Linked DNA regions of Saccharomyces cerevisiae S288C. The gene in region 1 interacts genetically with each later gene. Each region holds a gene or a part of one and is shown on either strand. Other genes may lie near its edges. The genes, in order: ROD1 and HXT1.

The links.
Region 2: of ROD1 (region 1) and HXT1, changing one suppresses a phenotype caused by changing the other (phenotypic suppression), as found in Saccharomyces cerevisiae (one study listed by BioGRID).

Annotation. Positions count from the first base shown.
Region 1 is NC_001147.6:362,482-367,386, forward strand, and holds ROD1 (Rod1p), read left to right. Parts: upstream 1-1,887; coding exon 1,888-4,401; downstream 4,402-4,905. Other genes in the region: PET127 (Pet127p), read left to right, coding at 1-1,333. UniProt on the Saccharomyces cerevisiae protein: Mediates resistance to o-dinitrobenzene, calcium and zinc.
Region 2 is NC_001140.6:290,121-294,268, forward strand, and holds HXT1 (hexose transporter HXT1), read right to left. Parts: upstream 2,506-4,148; coding exon 793-2,505; downstream 1-792. UniProt on the Saccharomyces cerevisiae protein: Low-affinity glucose transporter. HXT1 is as well involved in the transport of mannose.

The DNA.
Region 1 (4,905 bases):
TTCAAAAAGTGAAAATTATCACTATTCTAGTATAGATGAATTCATTGTGAGATCTCAATTGGACGCGTACGACCCAAATCTACCTGGAACGGGTGTATTTGATCTGAAGACAAGAGCAGTTTCTGCCATAAGATACGATTTATCACATGTAGAGAGTAATAACAACCAAACTGGATATGAGATAGATAAAGTTTATGGGGAATTTGAGTCTTTGGAAAGAGAATATTTTGAACTAATCAGGTCTGCCCTTCTAAAGTATTCTTTGCAAGCTAGAATTGGCAAAATGGACGGTATTTTCGTTGCATACCACAATATTTCTAAGATGTTTGGATTCCAATATCTACCTTTGGACGAATTAGATTATATAATCCATTCTTCGTATAACAGCAAATTCGACAGTTTGTTAAAGGAGAAGAATGATATCACAAAAGGGATATATGGTGAGGAGGACTACATTCTACACTATGACAGGGACGATAGGAAAATTGCTTGCTTGGTGGCTAATAGGGAATTTAAGATGTCTATGAATCTGTTCAGTAATATTTTGAAACACGTTGAGCAGTTACTTAACTCAAGTAATACGAAATGGGAAAAATGCAAAATAATGCTTAAAACCGAAGTTGAAGAAAAACGATCCAAAAGTGGCCGCTTCTTTAACGAACCGGTGCTAAATATTGTAGCCCTGCCGTTGTCACCTGAGTACGAGGATAAATCTTTATTGGTAAAGGATACTTCGAACGAACAATTAACAGAGGAGCTACTAAACCTCCGCTCATATAACGAAAATCTTTTGGAGGAACACCTGAATTCCTTAGTTGGATTTAAAGTAAATGTCAAGCATTTCTATCACCATCATCCTAATACTACACATCTACCTGATTTTGCTTTAAAAAAGAACGATATTCTCGACACCGAATCCCGTAAATATATTTCTGACATGATGAAACGAGACTGGTACAAAGATATACCATCTACACAGACTCCAAACTTTTTCCACGCTTCCGATGTTTCCACTTGGGAGGTGAACTCTACTTTTACAGATATCAATGACAAACAAATTTTACGAAAACTATACTTTAAATATTTGGATGTTAAATTAAACGCATTGAAAAATCAAGTAATCACACGTCAGGAACCTGATATGTCTAAAAAGGATGAAATTATGAATCGAATCAAATCACTACAAGCCCGCAATGATCACCGCGATAATGGAAGTAACAAAAGATATTCTAATTTTGGCCCTACCCGACTGCAAACTAAACTGCGCGCATATGCTAAAAAAGGTGCCCTTCGAAGAAAACTATTAGAAAGGAGTAACAAGTTCCATATCTAGAAGACAGTAGTCAGCGTTGGGCAATCTAATGTTATAGGTGAAGTTTTACTACTTTAATGTATTCACTCACAACTTTCGACCTTATGTAATTATTCTATGTATTTTTAGATATGTCCATACAATGCATTATTCTTGTAATTATAACACATATTAATTAAACAATGGGTCAAAAAGAGTCGAGTCCCTTGGTACATATTATGTTACATTACTGATTAAGTTGAATAAAAGCATCTAACTTTAAGGAATCTGCTTTATTTTGAAGACCGAAAACTACGAGTAAAAATAGGAGTTTTAATGCGGATGAATGTCTAACCCCAGAGATGGGTTCTCCGATAAAAACTGAGAAGCTTCCTGTTCACAGTTTTTATAAATTATTTTGTATGGCTGGGCTCTTGCAATTTTCAGCGTTTTTTTATTAAGCGAAAAAAACAGAACAGGGGTCCCCTATTCAAATATAGACGTCAAAAAGATGCAGATCTAAAACTAATTAACAACCATACAGAAATCAACGCGATTTCATCACACCATTCGCTTCTCTTCCTCCATAAGTAATAATGTTTTCATCATCATCTCGACCTTCAAAAGAGCCATTACTATTTGACATCAGACTTAGAAATTTGGACAATGATGTTTTACTGATAAAAGGCCCCCCTGATGAGGCATCTTCTGTCCTACTATCTGGAACTATAGTATTGTCAATTACTGAGCCAATTCAAATCAAGTCTTTGGCTTTGAGACTTTTTGGTAGGTTGAGACTAAATATTCCAACGGTTTTACAAACTGTTCATGGGCCGCATAAGCGATACTCAAAGTTTGAGAGAAACATATATTCTCATTTTTGGGATGATTTTAATATAAAAAGTTATTTCCAAAACTTGTACGATAATCATAATAATGGTAAAATAACAATTTCTAGTAAATCCTCAACAAATTTAGCAGCATTGCCAAAGAGAAAAAGAGCCCTTTCTACTGCATCATTGATATCAAGTAATGGGCAGACAAGCGCAAGCAAAAACTATCACACCTTAGTAAAAGGTAACTACGAATTCCCTTTCAGCGCGATTATTCCTGGGTCATTAGTGGAAAGTGTAGAAGGCCTACCAAATGCTGCCGTCACTTATGCTCTGGAAGCTACTATCGAGAGACCTAAGCAGCCCGACTTGATCTGTAAAAAACATCTAAGAGTTATTCGAACGTTAGCTATAGATGCAGTCGAGTTATCTGAAACAGTATCAGTGGATAACTCATGGCCTGAAAAAGTCGATTATACGATCTCCATTCCAACTAAGGCAATTGCCATTGGCTCTTCCACCATGATCAATATTTTAATTGTTCCTATATTAAAAGGATTGAAGTTAGGCCCTGTTAGGATCAGTTTGGTGGAAAATTCCCAGTATTGTGGTAGCTATGGAGGGGTTATCAACCAAGAAAGAATGGTGGCTAAATTAAAACTAAAAGATCCCCTGAAGCACGTTGCCCAAATAAAGAAGAAGAGGAGCCTAAATGAAGCTGCCGACGAAGGGGTTGATACGGACACAGGGGAATTTCAAGATAAATGGGAAGTTCGAGCTTTATTAAACATACCTGCAAGCCTGACTAAATGCTCCCAAGACTGTCGCATTTTATCTAATATCAAAGTCCGTCATAAGATCAAGTTCACTATAAGTTTACTCAATCCGGACGGTCATATTTCAGAATTGCGTGCGGCACTGCCTGTCCAATTATTCATTTCACCGTTTGTTCCAGTCAATGTAAAGACCTCCGATGTTATTGAAAGAACGCTCAAAACGTTTGGACCCTCATATCAAGTAACAAGTCAGCACGATAATTCATTCAGCAGCAAAAACTTTGTAGACGATAGTGAAGAAGATGTGATTTTTCAAAGATCTGCTTCTGCGTTACAATTGTCTTCAATGCCAACCATAGTATCTGGCTCTACTTTAAATATCAATAGTACTGATGCAGAGGCTACCGCAGTCGCTGACACAACTATGGTAACTAGTTTGATGGTACCTCCCAACTACGGCAATCACGTTTACGATCGAGTGTATGGCGAGGTAACTAATGAAGACGAAACTTCAGCATCAGCTTCTTCAAGTGCCGTCGAATCACAGGCAATTCACAATATTCAAAACCTATATATATCGGATAGTAACAATAGCAATAATCCTATTTTGGCACCAAATCCTCAAATCAAGATTGAAGATGATAGCCTAAATAATTGTGACTCTCGAGGGGACAGCGTTAACAATAGTAACCTGAATCTGGTTAATAGTAATCTAACAATTAGTGAAAATTGGAACAATAACTCTCCTTCTGCAAATAGATATAATAACATCATTAATGCTGGATTGAATAGTCCTTCACTGACACCAAGCTTTGCACATTTATCTAGGCGTAACTCATATAGTCGCCAAACATCTTCTACATCGCTGAAGAACGATTTGGAACTGACAGATTTAAGCAGAGTTCCCTCGTATGATAAAGCAATGAAATCTGATATGATTGGTGAGGATCTTCCACCGGCTTATCCCGAGGAAGAACTTGGAGTTCAAGAAAATAAAAAAATTGAACTAGAAAGGCCACAAATTCTTCATCACAAGTCTACATCCTCTTTGTTGCCACTTCCAGGCTCGAGCAAGAGTTCCAATAATCTGAAAAGATCGTCTAGTAGGACACATTTATCCCACTCTCCATTACCAAGGAATAATAGCGGATCCTCAGTATCATTGCAGCAGTTGGCGAGAAACAACACAGATAGTTCATTTAATCTAAATCTCTCTTTCACTTCAGCAAAAAGCAGCACAGGAAGCAGACATTTTCCGTTTAATATGACAACATCTTTCACTAGTAATTCAAGTTCCAAGAACAATTCACATTTTGATAAAACTGATTCTACATCTGACGCTAATAAGCCAAGAGAAGAGGAAAACTATACGAGCGCAACCCACAATCGAAGGTCACGCTCATCGTCAGTTCGGAGCAACAATAGCAACTCACCATTAAGACAAGGAACAGGTTCATTTGCTAATTTAATGGAGATGTTCACAAAACGGGATCGCTCATAGACTGCTTTATTTTTTGTCTTCGAAATTTCGACAAAAAGATATGAGCAATACTTCATACACGTTTGTACAGTTAAGCATATATACTTTGATAGAGTACTTTCATACCTCATACCACTTGAAAAATGATAATATAATGTTATAATACTACCTCATAATTGCTATAAAGTAAAACAATTCGGCGTTGTAGTTTATGCTTCTATAATCACAAAAAAATTTCACTGAAGTTGTCAGATTCTGCCGCAAGGCTTCTCATAGATTTTGTTAAGTGGTCTTACTCGGTTTTATGGCTTGAAGGTTAACATAATTATGAAAACTTATTGATATCCTCCCCACCCCTAACGTTTTAAAAATGATCTCGTCCAATATGTTTGAGGTGAATAATATCGGACCAGTTCTTGTTTTTAAAAGATAAGAATTGCTCATATTTCCCATACTTGTTGGAAAATTTCTCTCAACAATTGTATGAAGGCAAAATCCCTCAATTGAAACATTAAAATAGTGATT
Region 2 (4,148 bases), on another chromosome or scaffold:
CCGCTGTCGTGTCTTGTCTACAATGTCAGGTTGGCAGCCTAAGTTTTGGATTTAATAACCCTAGGGCTTTTCATTCTTTTATCAATCAGAACATTTACATGAAGAGGGCTGGAATAAAAAAAAAATATTCGGTTCTCCTCCATGCATAATGACGTAGTATTCTTATTGGCGCCAAACATAGTGTCATAATGCTTTTTCAACGATTTTAAAGTAACTCTTAGTGGATTGGAAAGGTCGCCTTTTCGATGGTAGCGTGCATTTTCTCGTCATTTTTTTTTTACTTGTCGTCTTTTCTTTACTGCTTCACCTCTTATCAAGCAAGTGTTTTTCGTGTCTCCCTGTGCCAGTCAGAAAATACATATGATTGGCAACTGTATATCCATTGAGATCGACTCGGTTATCTGTTAATGGAAATTATTGCTAGTAATTATAAATACCTAAAAACAACATCCTAACAGGCTTAAGTAACACTACTAGATGTTGAAGCAGCAGCGTTGTCAATTTCTATTCATTTGACATTTTTCCGAAATCATAAGCGGGCGTTTGAACTATGTATAGCGCCTATGTGGTATTAACCCATACTATATCATATAAAATTTTTCCTCGGAAGAGTGCCAGAATGAAATTTCTTGTTCCTTGGTGAAGGTCAAGAACTAGCAAAGAAAAGAACATCTGTTTATGAATTTGACAAGAATTTTGTTTTAACACCAATATAATATCACCTTTATAAAATTTACTGAGAAATTAAATACTGTATAAGTCATTAAAATATGCATATTGAGCTTGTTTAGTTTATTTCCTGCTAAACAAACTCTTGTAAAATGGTTGGTCATCATGCATTAGGTCATCAGCGTTGTAGTCAGCGCCTCTCTTGGATACTGGAACCCAGGAAGCTGATTTCCATGGTAGAACACCTTCGGCGTACATATCATTAACTTCTTCTAATGATAAACCTTTAGTTTCTGGAACGAAGAAAAAGACGTAAAAGTAAGCGAAAACCATACAGCCCATGAAAACGTAACCGTAGTAGAAGTTGATGGCACCAGTAATAAATGGGGTGAAGAAACTAATCAAGAAACCCCAGATCCAGTTAGCAGCACTGGCAATAGACATACACTTGGATTTGACTCTTAATGGGAAACATTCTGAAATAACAACGTAAGCAATTGGGGCCCAGGTAGTAGCGAAACAGAAAATGTAGAAACATGCGAAAACAATCATACAGTTACCAGCACCCTTTGAAGATGGTTGATCTTGACCGTTTGGCCATAATCTGGTAACACCAACAGAGGCATAGACAACATAACAGCAGACCATACCGACAGCACCCCACATCAAACAGTTACGACGGCCAAAACGGTCAACGGTGTACAGAGAACAACAAGTGGAGAAGAAGTTGACGACACCAAAGACAATAGAAGTTTCAAAAGAGTCACTTAAACCGACAGCCTGGAAAACAATGGTACCGTAGTAGAAGAAATAGTTATCACCAGTTAATTGTTGTAGAGATTGAATCATGATACCCATCATAGTACGTTGAAACATGGCTGGTTTACCAGTGAATAATTCGCCCCAAGATGCAGTACCAGCGGCTCTCATTTCTTCGACACTGGCTTCGATAGTTTCCAACTCATATTGAATGTATGGATGGTCAGGTGGGCATTTGTTAACTTTAGCTAAAGAAGCCCTGGCTTCGTCGATTCTGCCAGCTTCAACCAAATAACGTGGAGATTCAGGAACAAACATCATACCACCAATCATAAATAAGGCCCAGGCGAAACACAAACCTAATGGAACTCTCCATTGGACAGAGTTTGAGTAATTCTTGGTACCAAAATTGGTACAGTAACCTAAGAAAATACCTAAAGTAATCATGACTTGGTAACATGAAACCAAGGTGCCTCTCATTTCACTGGGGGCGACCTCAGATATTAGCATGGGAGATAAAACTGTGATACCACCGACACCTAAACCAGAGATAATTCTACCAATGAAATATTGGTACCACTTGTTGATCGAGGCTATTTGAATAATGATACCGATAGTGTAGATTACTACAACGACAATCAAACCGATTCTACGACCATACATATCACCTAGCTTGGCTAAGACGATACCACCAATGGCACAACCAATGTTAAAAATAGAGACAATTAAACCAGTTCTCACCTTGGACAAGTAATGACTACCGTCGTGGTGCTTCATACCAAATCTTCTTAGAAAATCAGTTTGAGCAACAAAACCAGAAATGGTACCAGTATCCCATCCAAATATGAAACCACCGAAAGCAACCATAACACAACAGATAGAAACCGTTACGTAGACACCTTTTCCGGTGTTTGGAGGGGCAACGGCGGGTTGCACTTGACTTTCACTTAAGTTGTCGTGAAAACTTTCATTTTTACCTTCTGGAGTATTCATGGCCTTTGAACGACCAGATTCCAATTCATATGAGTTGGATGAATTGGATTTCTGAGGAGATATTAGATCGGGAGTTGAATTCATGATTTTACGTATATCAACTAGTTGACGATTATGATATCTTTATAGATTTTAAGGTGGGGAAAGAACATGAGACCCCAGATGGAATTGATTATGGGGACATTGTTGCCTTTATATATAATTTCAATATACTAATTCAAATGATTAAAAACGTGAGGGGGACACGCAACTTCGGGTGTTAAGAAATATTTTGCTACATTAGATAATGGTGGAGTTTCCTGGCTTGTCGGATAAAAGCCATCAAATGTCGCAGCAGCTCATGTTTACGTTTGCTGTCTTCTGCCCACGTCATATGAGTGGTATTCTTCTATCAGCACTTGATGAATATTCTTTTTCTCATATATCTGAAAGACAAAAGATCGGCACGGCAATGCCCTGCAGCATTTCTTCCTAGTTTTTCCGAATTTCCATTACGTATTGGATCTTGTGCGCATATTTGTCAGTCCTTCACGGAAAAAAAAAAAGAGCACTGGGTCACTTCGGAAAAACTTTTGACTCAATGCAACAGTGTCATAATCCTTTGCGCTGTCTCTTTGAAGAAAAATCAGGAGTGCAAGATATCGATTAATTCCTTGGAAGTTATGATGGTTAGTCTTAGTTTAACTCTCTTGAAGAAGGGTTTTTTCAGTTGGTCAACACTCTTTAGAGGTAAAAAAAAAAAAAAAAAAAAAAAAAAGAGAATTCTTCATGTAATTTACCATGATTCTACGTTTTTGCAAGCAAAAATGAAGATAATCCGAGCGCATGCGCAAGTAGTCCCTGCCATGCCGCTTCGGAAAAACTTTCGAAACCAATACTCCTTACATCCGCCTTGAATTTAGGACCTACAATTGTTGTCTCTTCTGCTTGAACCAATAAGCCCTAGAAACCTTACACCCTAATTTGCACAAGAAAACTACGAAAAAATTTTTTCCTCTTTTTTCCGCAGCTCCAATCTCGCCCTGCTATTTTTTTGGTTCGGAGAAAAATAGTCGGTCGATATGAATTGAAGTTTCATTGTGGCCACTCGTTTAGGAATGGAATAACCTCCGCGAATGGAAAAAAAGAACTCGGAATATCAAAAATTCCGGCTCAAAGGAAAAATTTGCTTCAGGAGGGGGGAATTATATTCCAGATGAGACCTGCAAGGATTTCTGTGTGAGGTTTTCTCGGAGGAATAATAGTTTTCCAAAAATTACTTTTGGCAACTACGTGAATATAATTGACTACGGATATCCTTCGAGAAGGCCATAAAAAGAACCGTGACAGGGCCAAACAGAAAAATAATGAAGACAAGTTTGCTTTTTCTCTCACTGTATTTGAGGATCGGAAGCTTTTTGCACTGAAAATATTCTGGGTTAACAAGGTTTAAAGAAGCAAACTGCCACAAAGTATATGAGAGTATAACCGGACGGTACCTATACTTTGAAGTTGGAATAAATACGGGGTAGACAAAAAGGATGTGTTTCTGTATGTCTGATGAGAATGATGTCATCAAAGAACGTAAACAACAGTAACTGTCTATATTCTTGCTTTTTATTATGCGCTGTTACAGCAGGTAGCGGAGTTTTCAGTTCTTTCCCTAGTATGTAGTATGAAGGATAATACGGTAAAAGAACGGGGCTCTTGATTCATCATATAAATTTATTTTCCCCTGTTGAAACCTC